Linked DNA regions of Drosophila melanogaster. The protein of the gene in region 1 purifies or fractionates together with the protein of each later gene. This does not show direct contact. Each region holds a gene or a part of one and is shown in the gene's direction. Other genes may lie near its edges.

The links.
Region 2: the proteins of ntc (region 1) and Prosalpha7 purify together in Drosophila melanogaster (affinity purification with western blotting, with the first as the bait; one study listed by BioGRID). This does not show direct contact.

The regions. Positions count from the first base shown.
Region 1 is NT_037436.4:3,801,740-3,808,866, reverse strand, and holds ntc (nutcracker), read left to right. Parts: upstream 1-2,407; 5' UTR 2,408-2,907; coding exon 2,908-3,046; intron 3,047-4,102; coding exon 4,103-4,908; 3' UTR 4,909-5,035; downstream 5,036-7,127. Other genes in the region: IntS10 (integrator 10), read right to left, coding at 51-701, 758-1,802, 1,856-2,055. UniProt on the Drosophila melanogaster protein: Functions together with PI31 to control non-apoptotic caspase activation during sperm individualization. Positively regulates PI31 stability.
Region 2 is NT_033778.4:9,846,136-9,852,056, reverse strand, and holds Prosalpha7 (proteasome alpha7 subunit), read left to right. Parts: upstream 1-4,220; 5' UTR 4,221-4,339; coding exon 4,340-4,360; intron 4,361-4,418; coding exon 4,419-4,984; intron 4,985-5,151; coding exon 5,152-5,326; 3' UTR 5,327-5,421; downstream 5,422-5,921. Other genes in the region: PCB (pyruvate carboxylase), read left to right, coding at 1-603, 672-920; CG1671 (uncharacterized protein), read right to left, coding at 1,510-3,847, 3,907-3,932; Orc6 (origin recognition complex subunit 6), read left to right, coding at 5,663-5,727, 5,784-5,921. UniProt on the Drosophila melanogaster protein: The proteasome is a multicatalytic proteinase complex which is characterized by its ability to cleave peptides with Arg, Phe, Tyr, Leu, and Glu adjacent to the leaving group at neutral or slightly basic pH.

The DNA.
Region 1 (7,127 bases):
GTAAGATAGCTGGAAAATAGATATTTTATAAATGTTACCTCCTAGTTATTTCACTTAATCACAATCGTCTCCACGGGCTGACTGATTCCAAAGATGTGCTGCGCCAGCATCAAGTGTTCTTGGTTAATGAAATTCGCAAGCAAAGTGATCACGTTCTCATTGCAGCGGGCAATCTGCTGGCGTGTTATCGCCCTGAATTCATCTCGGGCTCCTTTGTCCGCTCCACGGGTGCCAATTCTTCGGCTTTGGGAACCACCAGCTACAGTGGTCGCAGTAGGTGTGCCACTCGAATTTGGCGAGCTGGTCAACTCAAAGTTATCCTCCTGCTGGGAGTTCCAAATGTGCGAGAGTTCCTCGAGCAAATCGATATTAATAATGTAGGTGGATAGGGTGCGCAGATTGAACGATTTCCGTTGCTTGATCAGGTTAAATATCTGTTGAGTGAGCAGAACATCGTTGAGTAGATTAAGTTGCTGCAGCACTAGGATATCCCCTAGCAATCGATCTGGAACGTTCGGTTCGAAGACCTTGCGACTCAGTCTGCTGATGATGGCTCCCACGCAGTACTGAACCAACGCTGATCGAGTGAGGGGCAGAAAAACCATGTGCCTGTGGCCCTTCAGCGACATATTCTCCAAAAGTTGACCCTGGGTGGTGGGGAGTTCTGACAGGATCTTTAAAATGCACTGGAAGCCCTGGAGCTGTGTGAGAAATTCATTAAGGTTTACCCATGTGAAAAAACTGGCTCTCTACTTACCGTCATGCTGCCTTGCATTAGATTAAGGCTCAAGATCTGCAGGCTTTGCACCAGACTGCTCTGGGTGGTCATGTCCGCCATAAGCTTGTTGGCCTCATCCCGGTGTCCGAAATATATGGCCAAGTCGAAGAGGAATCTTGAGATCCAAGGCGCCAAGGGAAGAGCCAGCATAAGTTGACTGAAATCCCTTTGGAACTGATCCGTATTGAGCAGCTGCCAGCACTGGGCGGCGTGTAGGAAGGCCTTGGATAACTCTGGACTTATGGCCGTGGTCAGGGAGAATTTCGGTGGCTCCATGCTGGGCACTTCGGAGCCATCACCTTCCGGCGACCATTCCATGAATCCTTCTACCAAAACATGAGTTACATCGGCATCCTCGATCCTCAGCTTACAATTTCGTATATAACCATGAAGGGAGTAAATGAACAAGGTGGTGGCGTAGAACAAAACCTGGGAGCTGCCCGCAGGACTGCCGGAAAGTATGTCCACCAGCTTTTCCCAGTAGACGTTCTGGTTGACATGCTTGCTGAAGGGCAGGAAGGGCTCCCAGCCCATCATCTGACCGCAGATCATCAGCACTTTAAAGATGTTCTTCCAGGCATCTGCTGTATCCGATTCATCCATTATTTGCCGCAAATAAAACTCCAAGGAACTGGTATAAAGTCTGCAGGCCAGATTTGGCGAAAGTTCCGGGGGCTTATTCTGGATCATGGGCAATACCTCCTCCACCAGAATCCGCTGATAGAGATCCGGTTCGGTTTTCATGCCCTCCGCCAGCATTTCCAGTAGCCTGGGAGCCTGAGTTATGGCTGATTTGGGAAACTTGTTGAACATCAGTATGTAGATATAGATGCGCTCCAGATTATCGGCACTGTGGTTGATGGTGTGCATGAATATGTTGTGCTGTACTTCCGGAGTTAGGTGCTTGTACATTTTTACATAGAACTCGTGTTCCGGCGTAGTTTCATTCTCATTTCTGAGGGCATTTGTTAGGGAGTTGATCTCCTGCCACAGCTCCGTATGTTGATTCTGGAAATTGGTGGCTCTGGAACAGTAAAAGATAAAGTAACTGGAATAGATGTGCTATTGTATACTCACATAGCACTGAAACACTTTGCTGCCTCCTCATAATTCTGAGCATCGCGTTCCAGTAGATAAGCCTCGTATTGCAGGTTGAATGCATTGGGATATAAAGTTTTAGCTGTGATAATCCAGGCCATGGCCGCGCAAGGATCGCTTTTCCGGAGTCTTTGCGCCTCCTTGACCATGTACAACTCATTTTCCTCTTGGCTCGGCATGTTTCTTCGGGTATATCTTTTGTTTTTATTAATTTTCTCCTAGTTTCAACAAAAACAAACCATTTAGCCGGCTATTAGGAATTTATTTACTAGCACTGGCCATATTTTTCTATTAGGGATGGGAACTATTGGATCTAGAAACTAGCTAGAGATTTCAATTATTTTCAAAACGCTTGTTTAGCATAGTGCGCTTGTTTTAGTTACATTAGGGCTGGCGTTATTGAGTCATTTCAACCTAAAACGCTTTTTATATCAATATATGTTCGGTGAATTCGAAGATATTTAATTTTCAGCTTGAATATAGCTAGCTTAACAAGCGACTCTCTCCTCATCTGCAATCGATAACAGCAGCGGCAGTAGTGTTGCATAGTAGCTGCCAGCCAGCTGATTATTCGCTAAATAACCAATTGTTTTTTCGCGAATTTTTCAATTTTCTGTGATTTTTGCGGCTACAAAATCGAAAACTATATTAAGCAAAATACATACGAACCTGGCAATTGCGACTGCTTATGTAATATCTGTGACAAACCAAGTTTTCTAGAAAATACCTGCCGATGCGTCGTTGCGCTTTGTTTTTGTTGCGTGAATAAGAATCGTTGGATATTTGTACATTCGCAATTTGTTGTAAATATGTTTAAATCTTAAGTGCCACAGCTTATCAACGAAGTAATATAATTGCGATTCCCTCCTTTTGTTAATCAGTCCCACTATATAGCACTAAATATAAAAATTGAGTGCACAAATCGCAGTATGCCCCATTTTCTGATTGTCATTCCGAAAACAAACAATGACAGTCGCATTGAAAGTTTAAATCAAATCGTTTCCCAGAAAATTCGTACGTAAATATCTGAAATGTCAGACACTAAATCCGAAATTGAGGGCTTTATAGCCATTCCCACGACATCGGGCGAACAACAACAACAACAGCCGCAACAGCAGCAAAATGAGCAACAAGTGGTCGGCACAAAGGACATTAAAGCTCCTGATCAGGGTAAGTTGTGTAATATTTATAGAAACTTACTAACTTACTTAAGAGCGCTCTATGTAATTGATAAATGGCCTGCAAATAACAATCGTTCATTAGTATCTTATCATATTCTATATCGTAAAATAATCTTAAAAAATACGATTATTGTATATATTAATATTTAGTTGAGAGTATCACTGATATCTAGAAGTTATTCATAATCTATAATAGAAATCATTATTTAATACATATCACTTAACAATAGATACTCATAAATCATGATAAACAAGACAACGTACACTAATTCATGCATTATGCTAATAACAATCTGCTCATTCTATAGATATTTTTTTAACAAATTTATTTGTACCTGTTTCTATTGTTAGTTTATAGAGCAATGTGTTTTTCATCCACGAATTATGCATATCTATTTACTCATACCTTGAATCACTTAACTTGAATGAAGTTCCTTAGACTTTCATTCCAAGATCGGCGACTCTCTTCGATGAATCATCAAGTTAACCCCTTCGAATAAAAGTAACATAAATTCCGAAAAACCTGTTTGATTATTTTGTAAATTGCTTCAAAAATGTGACGTTATATTTATTGTAATAATAGCCGTTTTAATTGTTCAGTTCCAACTTGTTTAACCTAGTGTCTTATCAAATATATTATGTAAACACAAAATAATTCTAAGTTTGATTAATTTTACAATTTATTTTAAAGCAAATTGAGTAGTGAATTAAATATTTATGTCGTGTTAGACATAATTTTATTTACAATTTCTTTCGTGATTTGTTTTTGAATGCAAGTGTTAATTTACTTAATTTATTTAAAGTTCTACATCAGTCTTAAAGTCTTAACGGGAGTTTTGAGTTTACTTCTGTGTTCTATATTTTGTAGTGTCAAAATGTATTGTATATAACTACCGGTTTGAGTTGTTGCTTCCGAAATCCGCACATAGCAGGTTTGTTTCTGCAATTTTCAATCTTCTCCTAACCAACCAACAGCACAGACAATTTCACTAATCATATCCTCGAGATTCTGTTTAAATATAAATACAAATAAAACTCGTTGCAGTGGGGAAAAAGCAGCGACCACGTTTGATACAAGAGAAGAGCACCCAGGAGACAAATCCGTTGATCCTGGAGCATGCTACTCTGGAATGGGTGCCGCAGCATATGGATAAGCTACTGAATCAGTATCAGGAATGTCGCAAAATGCCGGCTGCCGAGTGGCTTCATTTGTTGACTTACCTGGTGGCCCTGGAATGCGGATTTGTGGAGGAGGAGACATTTGCCCAGAAGAGACACCTCATTCAACCCGTACCATCATTTAGCAGCTTTCACGCCCAGAATGTGCGAATCCTGAGCGAACAACCAGCTAGATATGAAGTGTGCTTCAATGACACCGTCTATATAATGCGACTGAGAACACTATTGGACAAGCATGCTCCCGAGGAGACTTCTCTGGTGGCTGCCCTTCAGTGCCGGCTGATGGCCGTCAGCCTGGGGGATCAGCTTATGATCACCCTGTCCCCAGCACCTCCGTCGAAGGAGCCTGGCTACAGCGTCAGCCTGTCTATCGGACGCTATGTACTGAATATTCAGGCGAAGAACAAGCCCATCTACCATCGCTTTCGGAAGCTGGATGAACTCTCATATCAGCTGAAACAGCACTTGTTCCAGCCCATGCGATCGCAGCAACTAATGCAGATGGAGATGAAGCTACAGCCCTCGCTATTGGGCCTCCCGGACGAATTGTACTTCGAGATCTTCAGATATCTGGACAAAAGCCAGCTAAATGTGGTGGCCAGGGTCAATAGACATCTTCATTTCTACAGCAAGGAAGTGGAGCGAAAAAGGCTAAAGGGCGGCAGAAGCTAAGCTCTTGTTTTAATCGAAGCCGGTTTAAGCGATTTTATAAATATTATTATATTAATAAATTATTAAGTGGTGCATAAAGATTCTCGGGAATCATTGTATGTCAATAAATATATTTGCTTATTCAAGTAAATGCCTTGTTAAGAGCTGAAATACAACACGTCTCTTTATATTCTCTGAAATGTTTTAAATATTAAGACGGATTTTTACAATAAACTATCCTCAAAGATAAAGGGAATATTCCTTGCTTTATTTGGTGGAAGGCATGGATTTTTTCAATTGAAAAGGTAAATTCGAGAAAGTGATTCAATTAATTAAGCACTTCAGTTTTCAGATAGATTTTAAGTAACAGGGGAAGGTGTTTTAAATTACTGAAGCTTCTTATGTTTTGTTTTTTTACATATGTTTTAGTAAGAGTAAGAGTAAGAGTAATACCATATATTTGTGTTTAAATTATCCTTTAAATTGTGTCCTTATTGCATGCATTTATACGACCCGCTCCATCAGCAAGGACAATTGTGGATCCTCCGACGCCCTCGGCTGAGTCCTGCAACTCCTTCGATATCTTTGAGCCACCTGCCACGCCCCTGGATTCCATTAGCCTCAAGAGCAGTGCCAGTAGTTACCTCTACGATCGTGATATTACAGGTGAGTTGCGTCCACGTGTCCGCGCCACCTGTTCGTCGGCATTTCACCCCCCCCCCCTCCGCCCTTTATGACCGAAAAGAGGGGTACACGCCCCTAAACGAGTCGGCCCTCAACCACAGAAGTGCAGAATGCGAAACAAGCTGCTCCAGCAGCCAAAAACACGCGCCGAGATTGTCGCATCCACAATTCCCAGTGCCCCCAAAAAACCCCAAGCCCCCATTCGCCATTCCATCTTCGTCGGCTTCGAATCTCCAACCTCACAAGCCCACTTCGATTTTTTATGCGCACGCAAAATCAACAAAACCCACGCGGGCAAAACGGCACCCCTATAACCCCTATGTGTGCTACAGCTTTATACACTGAGAGAAACCCATGAAAAGCCGACGAAAATTTGTAAGTTTACACTAGTTTACAATTTTCAATTCATTTGGAACTCTTGAGAGTATCTCGAACACATTCGTATTTCTTTTAAATGTTTCTCTCAGTGTACTCCCCTTGGCCTCTTCGCCTTTTCGGTTTTCCTGGCGGATGGCATCTACAATTTGGTTTTTCTCCCTCAACAGCGGGATGCTTGCTGCTCGGTGCTGGGCTCCTATTTCGTGTTTATATTACGATATCGACTTTCTCGGGCCGAGCCTTATCACTAAAATAAAATGAAATAAAAACAAAAATGGAAAAGGGAGAGAGTGAGAGTGAGCCCAGCCTGGCGACATTCCCCTTGGAAACCCTATGTTTTCGGTTTCCCGTGGGTCCTGTCGAAATTATCTGGCTACAACTTTATCAAAATTTACGAAAAACAGTGACAAATGCATAAATAAATTATGGCAAAGCCAAACAAAGCAAAACATATTCCGCTGGGCTAGTGCTCTCGCATTTATTTTTGGACTAGAGGCAGTCGTGTCTCCTGAAAAGCTTCGGAAAAACGAGAGAAGCTTTCCATCGAGCGAAGAGTTACTCAGCATTTCCCAGGGGCAGCTGTTTAACCCCAGCCTCGTCATCCATTTTGTCCGCCCACAATTCGGTCGAATGGTTGGGTGAATGAACCCACAGATGTGGGTTTCATACAGTGGCGAAATATAACGAAATATAGTTATTATATACCACGTCAAGGAGTATTTCAAAAAGTGTTCTAATTGCAAATCATTCATTTTGCATTGATAAGATTATTATTAAAAACCGGTTTGAACTGGTGGGTTTCTGCAATAAAATTTCTATTGACTGCGATTATTTGTCAATGTTTTTATGGCCTAATGAAAGACTATCTTATCACGAATAAAAGCATGGAAATTGGAATTCCATGGACAACAGAAATAATTAACCACTGAGTCATTTTGTTTATGTTGGGACATACATTAACCTAAATTTCTTCAATATTGAGCTAAATTGAGTTACATGCGGTTTTGGTCACACTGTCTCCCCATCTGCAATGCTAAACTGTGCCAAACTTTTCATTCTGCTTCTCGTTTGAGTAGCTGTTGTTGCTTTCGTTTCCATTCTCGGTCTCCTCCCGTTTGTGGGTGGTCCAGTAACGGTAAACAGCAAAGAGGAATCAAAAGAGTTGGCAAAACATATGC
Region 2 (5,921 bases), on another chromosome or scaffold:
GAGGCCAACCTGTTGTTGGGTGACATTATCAAGGTGACGCCCTCGTCGAAGGTGGTAGGTGATCTTGCCCAGTTCATGGTGCAGAATGACCTGACCGCCGATCAAGTGCTGGAGCGGGCCGAGGAGCTGTCGTTCCCCAAGTCGGTGGTGGAGTACTTGCAGGGCTCTATTGGCATTCCGCACGGCGGATTCCCCGAGCCGCTGCGTTCGCGAGTGCTCAAGGACATGCCCCGCATCGAGGGACGTCCGGGAGCCGAACTGAAGGACTTGGACTTTGACAAGCTGAAGAAGGAACTGCAGGAGTCTCACACCTGCGTCACCAACCGTGATGTCATGTCAGCTGCCCTCTACCCGCAGGTGACGAATGATTTCCTAAACTTCCGCGAAAAGTACGGACCCGTCGACAAGCTGGACACTCGCATCTTCCTCACGGGTCCCAAGGTGGGCGAGGAGTTCGACGTACCTCTGGAGCGCGGTAAGACGCTGAGCGTGAAAGCTCTGGCTGTGTCCGCCGATCTCAAGCCCAACGGTATCCGCGAGGTATTCTTTGAGTTGAATGGCCAGCTGCGCGCGGTCCACATCCTGGACAAGGAAGCCGTTAAGGTAGGTTCAGTCAGCAGTCATCGGTGATCTTTAGGCAATGGAATCATTTGCTTGCTCTTCTTCCGCAGGAGATCCATGTCCATCCCAAAGCGAACAAGTCGAACAAGAGCGAGGTGGGCGCCCCCATGCCCGGAACTGTCATCGATATCCGCGTGAAGGTTGGCGACAAAGTGGAGAAGGGTCAGCCTCTGGTCGTGCTCTCGGCCATGAAGATGGAGATGGTGGTGCAGTCGCCATTGGCGGGCGTTGTCAAGAAGCTGGAAATTGCCAACGGAACGAAGCTGGAGGGCGAGGACCTCATTATGATTATCGAATAGACAGTGCCACCGGATCAAAATGTCCATTGTCTAAGCTGCCACCGCACACACCCAATGTAAAATTAAGTGAAAACAGTGATAATCTTAGGGACTCTGTCAGTTCGATTGATCATAAAACTGTCCAAAGTCGCCTGTGTCTATTTTTATATGAATCAAAATCATTCATGTTTCCGTGTTTCCAGGATCAATCGACCATGAGTAACTGGTCAAATTTTTTAGCTGTCCCTGCCAAAATATATCGGATTGCATAAGTTCGTGCCCAAGTATATTTGTAAATTTGTCGTAGGGCTTTTCCCGCAAGTCATTTGAATCAAATTTGTACGATTATGGAATTTTTAATTCGCAAACACCTGTGTCGAGATTCCCCCTCTAGTAAATACGTAAGTGGTTATTAATGTTATATTAACTATTGTGTAATAAACGTTATACAAAATAAAAAGTAACGCCCTGGTTTTTGTAGTGTGAAATTGGTGATTAAACATCTCGAAACAAATATGTAATGTATGGTTATCTACTTTATTTTTTTCCTAAAATTAATTAAACTGAATTAAGTTAACAATCATGAATGAAACGGCTCCGAAGCTAAAGCCTACATGCACTTGACAATGAACTCTAGGAAAGCCAGATCCTTGTTCAGCTCGGTGACCCGCTTAAAGTGTCTCTGGACGTACGGAGTGAGTACCTCGACCATGTTGCCATTGTAGTAGAACCTCGCCTTGGGATCCAGAAGAGCATCTCCGATCAAGTACTTGAGGATCATGTTGCCCGCCTGCGAATGGCGCGAGTTGGTGGTCCATGCCTTGACGTGCTGCAGCAGCGCAACCCGCTGGTCAACGTTCAACTGGTCAACCAATTGCCGGAGACCGGGCTCATCTCGCTTGCGGACAAAGTGGTTGATAATATCGAAACTGGCTTTGGGCTTGTCCAGGTTCAGAGCCAACACGAAGGCCTTGTGAAGCTGCTTCTGGGCGTGCAGAAGGGAATGTAGGGTCTGCTCCTGCTCCAATGCGGCCTGCCGCTTGTCCAGCGCTTCGTTTCGCGTCACCTGAGTGACATCACCGAAGCGAATCAGCTTGGAGTCCGCGCCGCCGGTGTAAAAGAACCGATTGCTCCTGGCGGATACGGCCAGCGCCCAAACCCTATCGTTGTGCTCGTCCAGGGACTGCAGACATGTGTTGGTCTTGATATTCCACAGCTTAAGAAGGCCATCCGAAGCAGCGGAGATAATGAACTTGCCGTGATCCAGGAACTCGGCTCTCAGTATGGTGCACTCCTGATCGAAACGTTTTATGCACGAAAAATTGCTGATGGACCAGATGCGGAGAGTACAGTCCGACGATGAGGTGAGCACGATCTGATCCACCGGAGAGAAGCGCACACTCCACACACCGCGGGTGTGTCCCCGCAACACTCCTTGCAGCGTGTTGGACTCCGCCAGCCACACCTTAGCCGTCTTGTCTTGCGACGCGGTAGCAATAAGCTTGTTATTCGGAGCATATGCAACGCAGTTCACCTCCTTGTCGTGGGAAAGCGCTGCGTAGCGCAGGTTGAAAGAGTACGAGTTGCGATCCTCCTTACTTCTGACGAGCTGCCATACCTTCATGCTGCCATCTTGGCTCACGGATGCAAAGCCAGTAGCTCCGTTGTGCGTCATGGCCACGCAACCGATAGTGGACGTGTGGCAGTTGGCCTGTTGAGTCAGAGCCTCAAGCGAGCAATCTTTGTCGTGCTGAAGCCTCCAAAGCCGAACGCTGCAGTCCTTTCCCACCGAAATCAGCAGATTTTGGGATGCAGCAAGGGACATTACCGTATCCGAGTGACCCACGATCAGCTTGCAATTCATGTCGTGTTCCGTGTCGTACAGCTTGAAGTGCTTGCTGTTGGTGGCAACGGCCAGGTAGCGATCGTGTTCGCCCATAAAGCACATGTCTAGGATCTCGTCGTTGTAACCCACCAAGTGTTTAATGGGTTCCAGGGTTTCAACGTCGTAGACCAAAATATTCTGCTCTGTAGTGACCAGGGCCAGCTGTTTTAGCTCGCTGCAGTGCAGCAGTCTACTAATTTGGAAATCAGATTGAGAAAGAATATCCCTGATCTTCCAAGATTTAGGGTCGACCTGTTGCAGCTTGCCCGATCCGCTCGCCACGATTATCAGTTGTCCCTCGTCTGCGTACACGACTCCCTCAAGCTCATCGTACAAGGGAAGAACCTTCAACTGCTTGCTTTCCAACTGCTCCTGCAATTGCCACACGATCATAACCTTGTCCCGGCTTACAGTCACGATTTCATTGCAGTCGGACGCGTTGCTCTTAAAGCTCAAGCCGGTGACTTGCGACAGGTGACCTCGCATCTTGTGCACAAGTGTCTTCGTCTCGTAGTTCCAGGCATAGACAGTGTTATCCGAACCTCCGGCGTAGATCTCTTTGCGCAGCACATTGGGATGAAAGACGAGGAGCCAAGCGGGACCAGGGAAATCCTTGAGGGCACCCAGACAGCTGTTGTTCGAGTAGTCCCACAGCCTCAGTGTGGCATCTGCACCGCCGCTGGTGCAGATAAGCCTGCCGCAGGGACTAAACTCAACTCGGATGACTGGTCCCTTGTGCTGCGCCTTCCACAGCTTCACCAGCTTCCCAGTGTCCAGCTGCCACAGCCTAAGCAGGCCACTTCGATGGGCAGTAACCAGATGCTCCTGTGACAGCCCGAAGCAAGTAATCGTATCCTCCTCCACATCGATATTGTCCAGCTCCGCCGGCCTCTTGTTATCCGCCGACGGGGAAGACAAGCCGTAGCTATTTAGGATTTGGGAGGTCTGCACATCCACCTGGTTTACAGCTGAGCCATTGAGGCAGTAAAGATGATGGCCATTCGGGCTCCAGGCGATGTCGCCGCCGGCGTAGAAGTTCGTGTAGCGGGCCTCCGCCGCATAGCTGGATTTTAAAATTGTTGTAGTCTTGCAATCATCAGGTAATTATTAAGTTTATGTTACCTTTTCTCGCTGATACCCGCCAGCATGATTTTCGTTGTTTATAAATACAAAAACCGCGTGCGCCGCGGATCAGAACATGAACGGAACTAGTTCGAAATGTTACTTTACAGAGCATGTAAGGGGATATTCGAAATGTATAAGTAGAAAAGAAAAGAATGATATTAACTTCAACTGTGCTAAATAAATAAAGTACCATGAATTGGTGATTTATTTTTAATCATTCGAATTTTATCTGAAAAAATCGCGATTGGTATACGATTGGTTTTTATTGACGATAGTCGTTCCGAAACTATCGAACCTCCTTGACCGATAGGCCCCTTTGTTTTGTCCACCACTAGCCAAGTAAAAGCCGTCAAATCATCGTCGCATTCGACCCAAGGAATTAAACTAATTTTTGCGTTTGAATTGTTTAAATTTTCACAAAGTCTTCGCTATGAGTACTATTGGCACTGGAGTAAGTGGTCAGCGAACTACATATCTGCAGATCCCTAACGTCACCCTCTCGCTTCCAGTACGACTTGTCGGCCTCGCAGTTTTCGCCTGATGGCCGCGTTTTCCAGATCGACTACGCCTCAAAGGCGGTGGAGAAGAGCGGCACCGTAATCGGGATTCGGGGCAAGGACGCCGTGGTGCTGGCCGTGGAGAAGATCATCACCAGTAAACTGTACGAACCAGACGCCGGCGGACGCATCTTCACCATCGAAAAGAACATCGGAATGGCGGTGGCCGGCTTGGTGGCCGATGGAAACTTTGTGGCTGACATTGCGCGTCAGGAGGCAGCCAACTACAGACAGCAATTTGAGCAGGCTATCCCGCTTAAACACCTGTGCCACCGAGTCGCCGGCTACGTTCACGCCTACACTCTGTACAGTGCCGTCCGCCCCTTCGGACTTTCCATCATTCTCGCCTCCTGGGACGAAGTAGAGGGGCCACAGCTCTACAAGATCGAGCCGTCCGGCTCCTCCTTCGGTTACTTCGCCTGCGCCAGCGGCAAGGCCAAGCAGCTGGCCAAGACTGAGATGGAGAAGCTCAAGATGGATATGAGGACCGACGAATTGGTGGAGAGCGCTGGTGAAATGTACGTTTACAGCAAAAAAAAGGGACTGTTTCAAAAATCGGGCGGGCTTTATCCTAGTTCCGAGTGGAAACTTACTTGCTCTGACAATAGGAAGCATTTTTGGGACATCTATTGCACTTAGAATCTAGGTTTTTATTCATAATTAACATATCTATCCTATGTCTTAGCATCTACAAAGTCCATGACGAGTTGAAGGACAAGGACTTCCGCTTCGAAATGGGTTTGGTGGGCAGGGTAACCGGTGGCCTACATCTCATAAATCCCTCAGAACTGACGGAGAAGGCGAGGAAAGCCGGCGATGCGGCCAACAAGGACGAAGACAGCGACAATGAGACGCACTAGTTCGTTTGTGTGCCAGTGAATCTAATTCTGGGCCTCATACATAATGTTAATTTTATATTTCCCTAAAGCGCAAAATGAATAAACAAAATCGGGTGAAATTTAAGGTTTTTATATTTTTATACTCTCATTCTTTAATAGTTATCGTTCGATATAAATATATTGGCTCGCTGGTTATCGGATCTGGTTCCTTTTGAATGTGCCTGCAGCTATTAAACCTCGATTGCTACAAAGAAAAACCTTATCGCTCACAGCTGATGCATTTCGCGCCATTTGTTGTACTTTATTTTGGTTTTAACGACGCACGACTGGAATTTCAGTCTATTGTTAATAACTACAATGACTACCTTAATAGAACAGTTAATTACGAAAATGGGCCTAAGGGAGGAGCCAAACGTGCTAGAGTAAGCGATAAATAAATAGTTTTAAAGGTTTACCCAGTAAGATCGAATCCTTTCAGGAAAACCACCGAACTAGTACGCCTCCTGGAACTGCGCTCCACGAATGTCCCTCTGCAGATCAACGAGTACGGAAAGATAGTGCTGTGTGCGGATCTCGCTTCCTGCATGATTGGGATCGCTTTCGACAAGGAGCAGGC